Linked DNA regions of Sus scrofa. Each later gene encodes a partner of the first gene's protein in a complex. Links are inferred from orthologs where the notes say so. Each region holds a gene or a part of one and is shown in the gene's direction. Other genes may lie near its edges.

Evidence for each region.
Region 2: ACTL6B (region 1) and DPF3 share a complex: the UniProt entries of both Homo sapiens proteins name them as parts of the BAF complex. The link is inferred for Sus scrofa from reciprocal best matches to the Homo sapiens genes ACTL6B and DPF3.
Region 3: ACTL6B (region 1) and SMARCB1 share a complex: the UniProt entries of both Homo sapiens proteins name them as parts of the BAF complex. The link is inferred for Sus scrofa from reciprocal best matches to the Homo sapiens genes ACTL6B and SMARCB1.

The regions. Positions count from the first base shown.
Region 1 is NC_010445.4:8,553,646-8,556,349, reverse strand, and holds the end of ACTL6B (actin-like protein 6B), read left to right. Parts: intron 1-1,690; coding exon 1,691-1,807; 3' UTR 1,808-2,028; downstream 2,029-2,704. UniProt on the Homo sapiens protein: Involved in transcriptional activation and repression of select genes by chromatin remodeling (alteration of DNA-nucleosome topology).
Region 2 is NC_010449.5:96,251,901-96,255,500, reverse strand, and holds the start of DPF3 (zinc finger protein DPF3), read left to right. Parts: upstream 1-1,146; 5' UTR 1,147-1,210; coding exon 1,211-1,242; intron 1,243-1,395; exon of another isoform or gene 1,396-1,965; intron 1,966-2,577; exon of another isoform or gene 2,578-2,663; intron 2,664-3,600. UniProt on the Homo sapiens protein: Belongs to the neuron-specific chromatin remodeling complex (nBAF complex).
Region 3 is NC_010456.5:49,874,840-49,878,566, reverse strand, and holds the end of SMARCB1 (SWI/SNF-related matrix-associated actin-dependent regulator of chromatin subfamily B member 1), read left to right. Parts: intron 1-578; exon of another isoform or gene 579-2,778; coding exon 2,779-2,910; intron 2,911-3,238; coding exon 3,239-3,278; 3' UTR 3,279-3,586; downstream 3,587-3,727.

The DNA.
Region 1 (2,704 bases):
AGTTCATTATTAAATAAAAAAAATAAAAGACTCTGACTAGTACCCATGAGGATAGTATGCCACAAGCTGCTGCATAGGTCACACATGTGGCTCGGATCTCATTGCTATGGCTGTAGTGTAGGCTGGCAGCTGCAGCTCCAGTTTGACCCCTAGCCTGGGAACTTACATATGCTGCAGGAGCTGCTCTAAAAAGAAAAAGTATATATATATATATATTGTATTTGGAGTTCTCCTACTGGCTCAGTGGATTAAGGATCTGGTATCGTCACTGCTGTGGCTTGGGTCAGGGCTATGGTGCAGGTTCAACCCCTGGCCTGAGAACTTCTGCATGCCACAGGCATGCCCCCCCCAAATATATATATATATATATATATATAGTATTGAATCCAATACATCAAAAATATAATTTAAATATCATCAATATAAAAATGGAGGTGCCTTACATTCTTTTTTCTGGACTTAGTCTTCCATATCTGGTGCGTATTTGACAGGACTAGCCACACTTCGAGTGCTCGGTAGCTCAATTTCAAGTGTTCAGTGTGGCAAGGGACCCCTGGGTTTGGACAGGGCAACTGTGGAAGGTGAGAAAGGTCAAAGAAGCAGGTTTGGGGCAGGCGTGGGTGAAGATGGTGAATGCAGCTGTGGACATGTCCAGGGTGAGGTCCCTTGGGACACTAAGGAGGAGGTGTCCAAAAGACATCTGAGTATTAGGGTCTGGAGCTCAGCATGGAGATCCAAACTGGGAACCAGAGATGGTGGGAAGGGTGGAGCTTTGGCACAGGAGCAGGAGCAAACCCTAGCAGATGACATGGTCCAGGAAGGCGTGTTCTTTGAGCCACAGGACAGAAGCAGAGCCACACACACACACACACACACACACACACACACACACACACACACACACACTTGCAGGCAGAGGCAGAGAAACCATGAAAGAGTGGGTACAGCCTGAAATGCCCAGGACAGAAGCAGAGCCACACACACACACACACACACACACACACACACACACACACACACACACACACACACACACACACACACACTTGCAGGCAGAGGCAGAGAAACCATGAAAGAGTGGGTACAGCCTGAAATGCCCAGGACAGAAGCAGAGCCACACACACACACACACACACACACACACACACACACACACACACACACACACACTTGCAGGCAGAGGCAGAGAAACCATGAAAGAGTGGGTACAGCCTGAAATGCCCAGGACCAGAGACTCTCAAGGAGCAGGTTTCAAGGGGGGCGGGGGCCACTTGGGAGTAAAGACAGCCCCATCCTGATGTTAGGTGATGTCCATTGGTGAGGCGCGTGGAGAGAAGATTTTCTTGGGAAGTAGGGAGACTTGACATGTTTGTTAGGCCCTATAGGGTACCTGGAGAAGAAGAGGTATGGAGCGTTGGCCACTGGCCAGGGTCTGTAAGCACCACCTCCCAGCTGGGAAACAGCTATTGAACAGGTGCTCAGTAGATGCTTGTTGAATGAATGAATCCTGGATTGAACGACAGGCAGCGGGTGTTCGCCCTCTGACTACGAAGGGGTGGACTGGAAGATGGGGCAGGCTGGTGGTCGCGGGAGGGATGTGGGATTGAGAGGCAGGGAGGCCCGGAGGAGGGTTCCGGGGCGTCGAGCCTGCACGCGTGGAGTGTGGGGAGGCGCTTCTCTCTTCCTTCAGGGCCTCCCTGACCGCCAGTGTCGTCCCCCGACCCAGGGCACTTTCCAGCAAATGTGGATCTCCAAGCAGGAATATGAGGAGGGCGGGAAGCAGTGCGTGGAGCGGAAGTGCCCCTGAGGGCGCCCCCTCCTCACCCACAGGCCTGCCTGCAGCAGTGGGGGAGGGGACGCGAAAGGAAGGAGAGGGTTAACCCCCGCCCCCGTTCTTCCCGCCCCCCCCCCCGCCTCCCCGCCTCGGCACCGCAAGCTCCCAACGCTCCCACCGCCCCCTTTTCTTCCCCTTCCCGCTCGTCCTCTTAGATTGCGTTGTCGAACGGAGTAAAAACGTTTTAAGAAAAAGGAAGTTTGGCCTCTTTAGGGGTGGGCAGTGGGGTCAGGGTTCTGGAGGGAGAAGAGGGGAGGGCCACACCTAAATCCGCGGTGTGGCATCGCACGGTGGACGCCAGGGCAAGGTCTGAGGGCGGGGGCAGTGCGGCAGGAGCCACGAACGCCTCAGGTTTCAAAGGGGCCGCAATCCAGGGAGGATCGCGCAGCGAGAACCGGGTAGAGCCCCTCAATGAAATCCCCAGCGAGGAGCAAGAGTCGGGGCTGGAAATGGGAGTTGGCGAAGGGGATGCGGCGTCAGGGGCGGGACGGAACCGAGGGCCCGGCCCAGGGGCGGGGCCTGCGCGAGGGGTGGGGCTTGGGGTGGGCCGGGCTTCGGGCCTCAGGAGAGGCTGCACCTAAGCACCCCAGGACCGACAGCTCAGGTGAGCCGACCGACCGCTGTCTTTTCCCAGGGCGTTATAGGCAGTGAGAAGAGTGGGGAGGGGACAGAGGCACAGTGCGCCCCAGCAGCTGAGAACTTCTCTCCCAACTTGGGTAGGCACTGAGGTTTCCCAGGGAGACCCCTGACATCCGGGCCCCTGAGCCCTTCCATTTTAGAGCTGCGTGTCTTGGGGTCCTCTGCGGGGCTCAGGGACCTGCGCCCCTGCCTGAAATTGTAGGTAAGGCTTAGCAGTTTGTGCCTGTGATG
Region 2 (3,600 bases), on another chromosome or scaffold:
GATTTCTGTATGCTAACGAGGCCCCTATTCATGATTTAGTGCGATTTCATCCACCCTGAGCTGCCTGGCTCCTCAGTGGAAGCCTGGCTTCACAGAAGTCTCTCAGTTTTGTCAGGGCTTCGCCAGTGAGGAGTTCGCACGGACTTGAAGCAGACACATTCTCTGAACGCCTCAGGTCACATCTGATTATTCATTAGCAAATTCTTTTCACCTTTTTATCTAATCAATGAAAGGTGACGCCGGAATCGCGTATGCTACTCCCCGAAAGGGACTCTGGCAACACCCATCTAGGTTCCACAACTTTGTCTCGTTACTCTTTCCGAAGAGCAGAAAGCGTTTGCAAAAGTTCTCTTAAACCACCCCTCCCCTAAGCCTAAAGGTCAGAGCGCCAGGCCCCAGTTGGCTCTCCAGCTCTCTGACCATTTAATTTCCGAAGTTTCTGGTTTGTGCGAGGACAGAGGAGGTGGCAGTGGGCAATTGCCTGAGTGACCACCGCGTATTAAGTAAGGAAAGCCTGGCTGCTGGAGGGAACGAGCCTGACATTGAGACATTCCAGGGGGAGGGGAGTTGCTGTCCTGGAGTCGCCAGGAACGGCGGCACCAGTTCCAAGAAATCAGAGGAAGGTGGCCGAGATAAAGACAACACTTCAGGAATGAGAATATTAAAAAGCCGCAGGACCCAGAGCATTAGTAAGCGGCAGGACACGTGTAGTAATTAGACGAAACGGCACCCTTCCAATTTTTGCACTGGAACGAGGGGAATTGTCCTTTGGGGGATTAAAAACGTAACAGTAAAGCCAAAAGCTAATGAATAGGGTTCAACGGTTTGCTTGCAATACTTAAATATTTTCTGTCCAGGACTTAAATATTTCTGTCCAGGAGCGCAACTCTCTGCAGTTGTTTAGAAAGTAAGGATTCAAACCAAACTAGAATACTCTCGTGCGTCTCCACTTTCCCTCATCCGAAAAGGAGCTCTACGCGCGGTACTGCCCCTTTAAGACCTGCTTGCTCTCGGGCTCTACAAAAGGGAGTGACCTCTGGGCTTTGACAGCTCCCCTAATAACTACCACCGTGCAGGCCCCGCCCACCTGGCGACCAGCCGCGCCGATTGGCCAGCGGGCCGGTATCCCGTGCTCTGATTGGCTCGCCGCTTCCCCTGAGCGAACCTTTAGAACTCTGAGACAGACAATATTCTGTTACATTGTAGCAAAATGGCGACTGTCATTCACAACCCCCTGAAAGCGTAAGTAAGACTAAAAAATGTACATTTTCCTCGTGGTTTCAATATGAAAAAAAAGGCGCCTTCTGCGTGCCGAGCGCTGCCAATGCACTGCGCTTGCAGGCGCCTACAGCCGCGGTGGGGCTTCTCTCTTTTCTTTCAGCTCTTACTTCTTCATTTTTTTTTTTTTTTTAACCCGGGCGCGCAGAAATGTCAGGAGAGGCAATTAAGAAGAGGAAAATTGGTACATTTGTGTTCTTCTAAATTGGCGGACTGAGGGAGAGGGGTTACTGGCAGGGGAGCCAGGCGCTCGAGTGCTCTACAGCGAGGGGATCCTGGGCAGCTCAGGGACAGCACGGTCCCCAGAGTGCCCAGCTTCTCCGGGCGGTGAGCGCGGCGCGGGGGGCGGCTCAGCTGGGGGCGAGAGCCAGGCTGGGGCCGCCTGGGTGCACTTGGCTGAGCCCGGTGCTTCTGGAGCCCGCAGCCCCCGCCCCGATGCTAGGTCGGCGGGGGTGAGCGGACCGCTGCAGCTCCGGAGTTTTCAGGGCGCTCTCCGCCTTCTGATCGCTTGCGGGGAGTTTGTGCAAACCTTCCGGAGTTGGGAGGACCGCAGGGGGAGCACCGGGTCCCGGGAGCCCTGGGGCCCAGGTGGTTGCCCGGGGCTTTCCTGACGGGGCAGCCCCCAGAGCTTGACTGCGCTTCGGGCGGTCGCCGGTGTGTCTCCGGGTGTTGTTTGTGGGGAACTGCCTGTAATAAATTAACGACTCGGGTTAACTTGGGGTTGATTTGGAGACTGGGAAGCTGCAGGTCTTATGAATGGTGTTCTTGCCTCCTCTGGGTGAATAGTCGAGGCTGGCGAGAGGCAGCCTGGGGCTCCCCGCCCGAGCGGGTAGCGTCTGCTCTCGGCCAGAGCTAGGGGCAGGTGCCTCTGGCCACAGCCGGGAGACTTTGAACGGACGCCCAGATCCGGGACGGAGGGGGGGCGGGCTGGGCGAGGACACGCGGGGGCCAGTCCCCAGGTCCGACAGCCAATTCCTGCCCGCCTTCCTTCCCCCTCCTTTTTATCCTGGCTTCCTTCCTTCCTTCCAATCCGTGGAACTGTTAAGCCGCCAAGTCCGCTAGCGATCGCGGAGCCGGGGGTGGCTTCGGAAAACTAGCGTCGCTCTAAAAGGGGTGCTCTTGGCAGTAATGTTGGCAGAGGGGCACTCCCTCCGGATCGCAGCGCGACGTGGGTGGGGGCTTGCACCCCTGGGATTATGACTTCGCAGCTAGGCTGGAAGCCGCGGGCAAGGGGAGGGGGAGGTGCGGGGGAGGGCATTTCATGGCGAATTCTCTCGCCAGTGCCTGGAGGATGCCCACCTAGGTTCTTTCAACTCAGCGCATCCACGTTCGCACCCGAGGCTCCTCTTGGAGTTGAAAGCCACGTTCGCACTGGGGGAGGGGGGCGGCAGGGGAGTTCTTAACACGAAGGAACTCGCGGGGAGAATGGGACGTGTTTGCACCAGCTTATCTCCTATCGGTAGTAGGAGAAAAGGTTAGGAATGTCCCAGATCTTGGAGTTTTAAATGTATAAATATGTATTAACCCTAAGAGGACATTGGGAGCTGAGGCTGATTAGAGAGCAGCTCTCGGCTTCAGTTCTCGCTTGGAAGCTCTGATACACTACACTTGAACGCTACAGCGTTTCACCCAAGATAGAAAATGTTTTATGGCAGAATAAATGGGCGTAACTTCACCGCATCCTCTCTCCCGGTCCCTCGCGCTGCTACACCGCTGATGCTGTGAGTTTTTACCGAACCCACAGCTGATTTGCAGTTTTCACATTTCCAGCCCAAATCGCGTAGCCGAGCTGATGCCACCTGGTAAACTCAAGTTAGAGGATCTATTTCACATGTGTGCCAGGTTTGTTTCCTTTTGGGAAAGCAGTACCCTAGTTACCCCTGGGCCCGTTTATACGCTGGCGGGGGCAATATCTCTACGCTCTTTAGCTCTTTACTACCGGCTCCGGTTTTTTGTTTTTTGTTTTTGGACAGCAGAAGACTACATGTTTGGGGAGGGTATCTGTATAGGGTGGGGTTAGAAGTGGGGGAAGGGAGAGAGAAGCAGGCTGGTTATTGGAATTAGTTCTGAATTATTACACTTGTACTTTGTATAATTAGAAACAGTTGCAATGCCATGTATTTGTAATTTTGTGTCGTCACACACACCTACATCTTAGCATACCCTTGACATCCAGCCTGCTTTTTCTAGGTGGGAGTTGAGTGGTCATTTATAATTAGCTGCTCCTTTTTGCATCTTGACCCCTTTCCCTGGGGATAAGGAGGTATAAACAATACCCCTACCAGCCCAGCCTTCTGTGCCTTGGACGGCTTTTAAAGTTCT
Region 3 (3,727 bases), on another chromosome or scaffold:
TATTGAAGCAGAATCCATCAACCCTTCAAATGACCCATCTAGAATGGGCGACTCTGGGGTTTTCTGGATGTTCACAGGGTTGTGCAGCCCTGGGCAACCTCCAGTCTGCTTCCTGTCAGTAGGTCTGCTTGCTCAGGACACTCAATATAAATAGAGTCATATAATGTATGATTTGGGGGCTGGCTTCTTAGCATAAATGTTTTCAAGGTTTGTCCATGTGGAGCCTGTATCAGAACTTCATTCCTTTTCATGGCTGAGTAATAGTCCATCATATAGTCAGGCCATGTTTTATTTACCTGGTTATCAGATGATGGGCACTTGGGTGGTTTCAACTTTTAGGCTGTAAATGATAGTGCTGCTGTGAACATTCATGCACAGGTTTTTGTTTGAACAGCTATTTTCAGTTCTCCTGGGCAGGTACCTAGGGGTGGAATTCCTGGGTCGTGTGGTCACGCTCTTTAGCATTTGGAGGAACTGCCCAACTGTTGTTCTCAAAGCAGCAGCACTGTTTTACATGCCCAGCCCCTGAGTGAGGGTTCCTGTTTCTCCACATCCTCGCTCACCTTTCTGACTTTTAGATCCTGGCCACCCTCGTGGGAGTGACATGGCGTGTCAGTGTGGTGTGGATCTGCATTTCCCTGACGGCTAATGATGTCGAGCATCTCATAATGGGCCGTTAACCATCTATGTATCTTCTTTGGAAAATAAGGCTATTCCAGTCCTTTGGTTTTTAGTTGGGCTCTAAGTTTGTTTATTATTGAGTTGTGGGAATTCATTATATATCCTCAATGCAAGTTCCATATCACATACTTGATTTGCAAATATCTTCTCCCATTTCATGGGTTGTTTATCACTTTCATGACTCTATCCTTTGAAGCACAAGTTTTTGGTTTTGATGATACTCAGTTTAATCATGTATTCTTCCATTGCTTGTGTTGCCTGGTCCAGGGTCTCACCCTAGCACCCTTTGCTGGAAAGACGGCCCTTCCCCCATTGAGTGGGCTTAGCTCCTTATCCAAAGTCAGTTTGCCATAAACAGGAGGGTGGTGTCGAGTCTTGTCACCTCCTAACTGGCCGCAGAGCTTGGGCAAGAGGCCCCTGCAGTCTCGTTCTCACCTATGAAGTAGGCACGGTGAACAGGCTCTTCAGCTGGTCCATCGCACCTCATGAGGTCATAAAAGTAAGATCACATTGAAGATGACCTCCCCGTTCTCTCCCAGCCACAGCCTCCCTGCTTGGACACCTTGGCTGGTAGGAATATCGGGGTCCCAGGTGCCTCGAGGCCCGGGGAGCAGAACCCCCTTGTAGGCTGGGCGGCTCTCTGCCCATGTGTCCCCCCATACCCATGGGGCCTGCTGGCTCAGGCCCGTCCTCTCATGCCTGGTCTGAACAGTTCTTACTTTAGAACAGACCCACTGGGGTGGAATACACTGGGGAAGTAAACACAGGGGCCTCCAGGCCCTTGTTTAAATTAAGAAGAAAACATATTTTGTTCCCCTCGGCGTGGCCTTGGCAACTTTCATGTCTGCTCTTCCTCGGAAGGCAGCTGGGAGCCCCGGAGGTGAGGAATGATGTTTGAGTCTGTGGCTGGGTGGTTTCTTGATCGCCAAACTGCTGCCTGGCTGGGGAACAGCTGTCAGGAGCTGCAGAGTAGGGCGGCCTGGCCCCTGGCCTCTGAGTTACAGCACAGGTTTGAGCCCTGGGCATTGTGGGCATGGACCCAACAGGCCACACTGTGGCAGCAAGAGGTGAGCCCTGCTCTGCGGGGGCAGGACAGCTCCGAGCTGTGTCCCAAGCACTCGAGGTCCCCAGGACCCCAGGCAGACTCTCCTCCAACCGTGGACACAGGAAGGCTGTGAGTGGGCCCCTGGCCCCAACATACACAGTGGGTATACATGGGATGTTTAGTAATCACAATCTTGTGAAATCCCTCACAGCAAGGACATCGTCCCCATTTTCCAGATGAGGTGTCAAAACCAAGGCCAAGGGCCATCATTCACTGCCCCCTCTCCCCCGCCACCGAGTTGACTCTGCAGGGCTCTGGGTGGGCCAACTCCTGATGGGCCTTCAAGGGGCCAAGCTACGGGGCACAGGCCAGGGTGGGAGAGGTCCAGGCTTGGGCAGCGCTGCAGGAGGGGGTGAGCCGGGGGGTTGGCTCTCTTGGCCCGTGATCTCTGGACCTCTTCACTTTTCACCACCCTGGGGTTCCGATCAGGGCGGCAGCTCAGCCAGGTGCCCTCCAGGCCTTTGTAGTGCCCCACCCCCAGCTAAATCCACTCACCAGAGGGTGTGCAGTGGCCTTTGGGTGGAGTCGGGGGACAGTTGCTAAGGGACCTAGGATGCAGTGGTCAGAGGTCATGGGTTTGGGCCCCTGTGAAGCAGGCTGAGGAGCTGGCCTCAGTGAGCAGCATCCAACCCCCCTGCAGACTCTGCTTTCCTCTTTCTCCTGGACACTGAGCGGGTAGGCCCCCCTCCTGCTCCCCACAGGTCCAGTGGTAATGGCTGGCCCTGCCACACTGTTCTGTGGACCCTGCCCTAGTCTTTGGCCTGGAGATACTATGGTGGCAGCAGAGTGCCTGCCGAGAGCCACTTCAAGGAGAAATCCACTGGGTGGTGGGCCAGCGGTATTGGTGCTGCGGAGGGAAGGGAAGGGCCAAGTGGCCCCAGTGGCTCTGCCCTGAGGTTCTGGTCCATGTGCTGGTGGGCGGGGGTGGATGGTGGTTTCTGGGGCCTCTCTGGCCGCTGCTCCATGATCTGCCTCCTTCCCACCTTCCACAGTGAGAACCCCCTGCCCACGGTGGAGATTGCCATCCGGAACACAGGCGATGCTGACCAGTGGTGCCCGCTGCTGGAGACCCTGACAGATGCCGAGATGGAAAAGAAGATCCGCGACCAGGACAGGAACACAAGGTGCCCCCCCAGCCCTCTTCCCAGGCAGCGCAGGACCATTGCCTTTCCTGAGACCTGGCAGGCCCCTGGGTGATGAGTCCCGATCTAGCCCTTCAGGGAATGAGTGAGCCCTCAGATGGGGCCTGACCTCATCCCAGACTGGGTTCCAGGACCCCTGGAGAGGTGGACAGGGCAGGGGGCAGCTTCAGGCCCCAAGCATCAGACAGGCCCAGGCAAGGGCAGGGGCTGGGCTCCCACCTGCCATGTCCTGTCTCCACCCCCCACCCCGGCTCCCCATGGGGTCGTGGGGACAGCATCTGCCCCAGGTCACTCTCTCTCCCCTCCGCAGGCGGATGAGGCGTCTGGCCAATACTGCTCCGGCCTGGTAACCACCCGGTGGTGCATGGCTCCCACGGAGCATGTGAAGATTGGACCGCCCACCTCTCCTGTCTTCTGGGAGGAGGGCATGAGGAGAGGCAGCCCGGCTGCCTGAGGAGCATGGGGTAGGGGCCTCTCAGTCGCCCCCCACCCACCCCCGGGTACACATTCCGTTTGCTGAGCCCCAGTCCCCGCTGCCCGTCTCTGGTCAGGAAGAGGCCTTGTTTTGGGTTGTGTTTTGTTTTTGTATAGGAACCCCAGGCAGGGCAAGCAACACTTTTTAAATAAAAGGCAACAAGTCCTGTTCTGTTTCATCAAAGTGGTGTAAAAATAAGAATGGGGCTGGGGTGAGCACAGAACAGGCTGGCGGGGACGCATGACCAAGCTGGTGGACAGGCCCTCACCATCCTCCACTTCATGTTCCTGCTCGGCACTCGCAAGGCCATGGCTCCATTCAGGC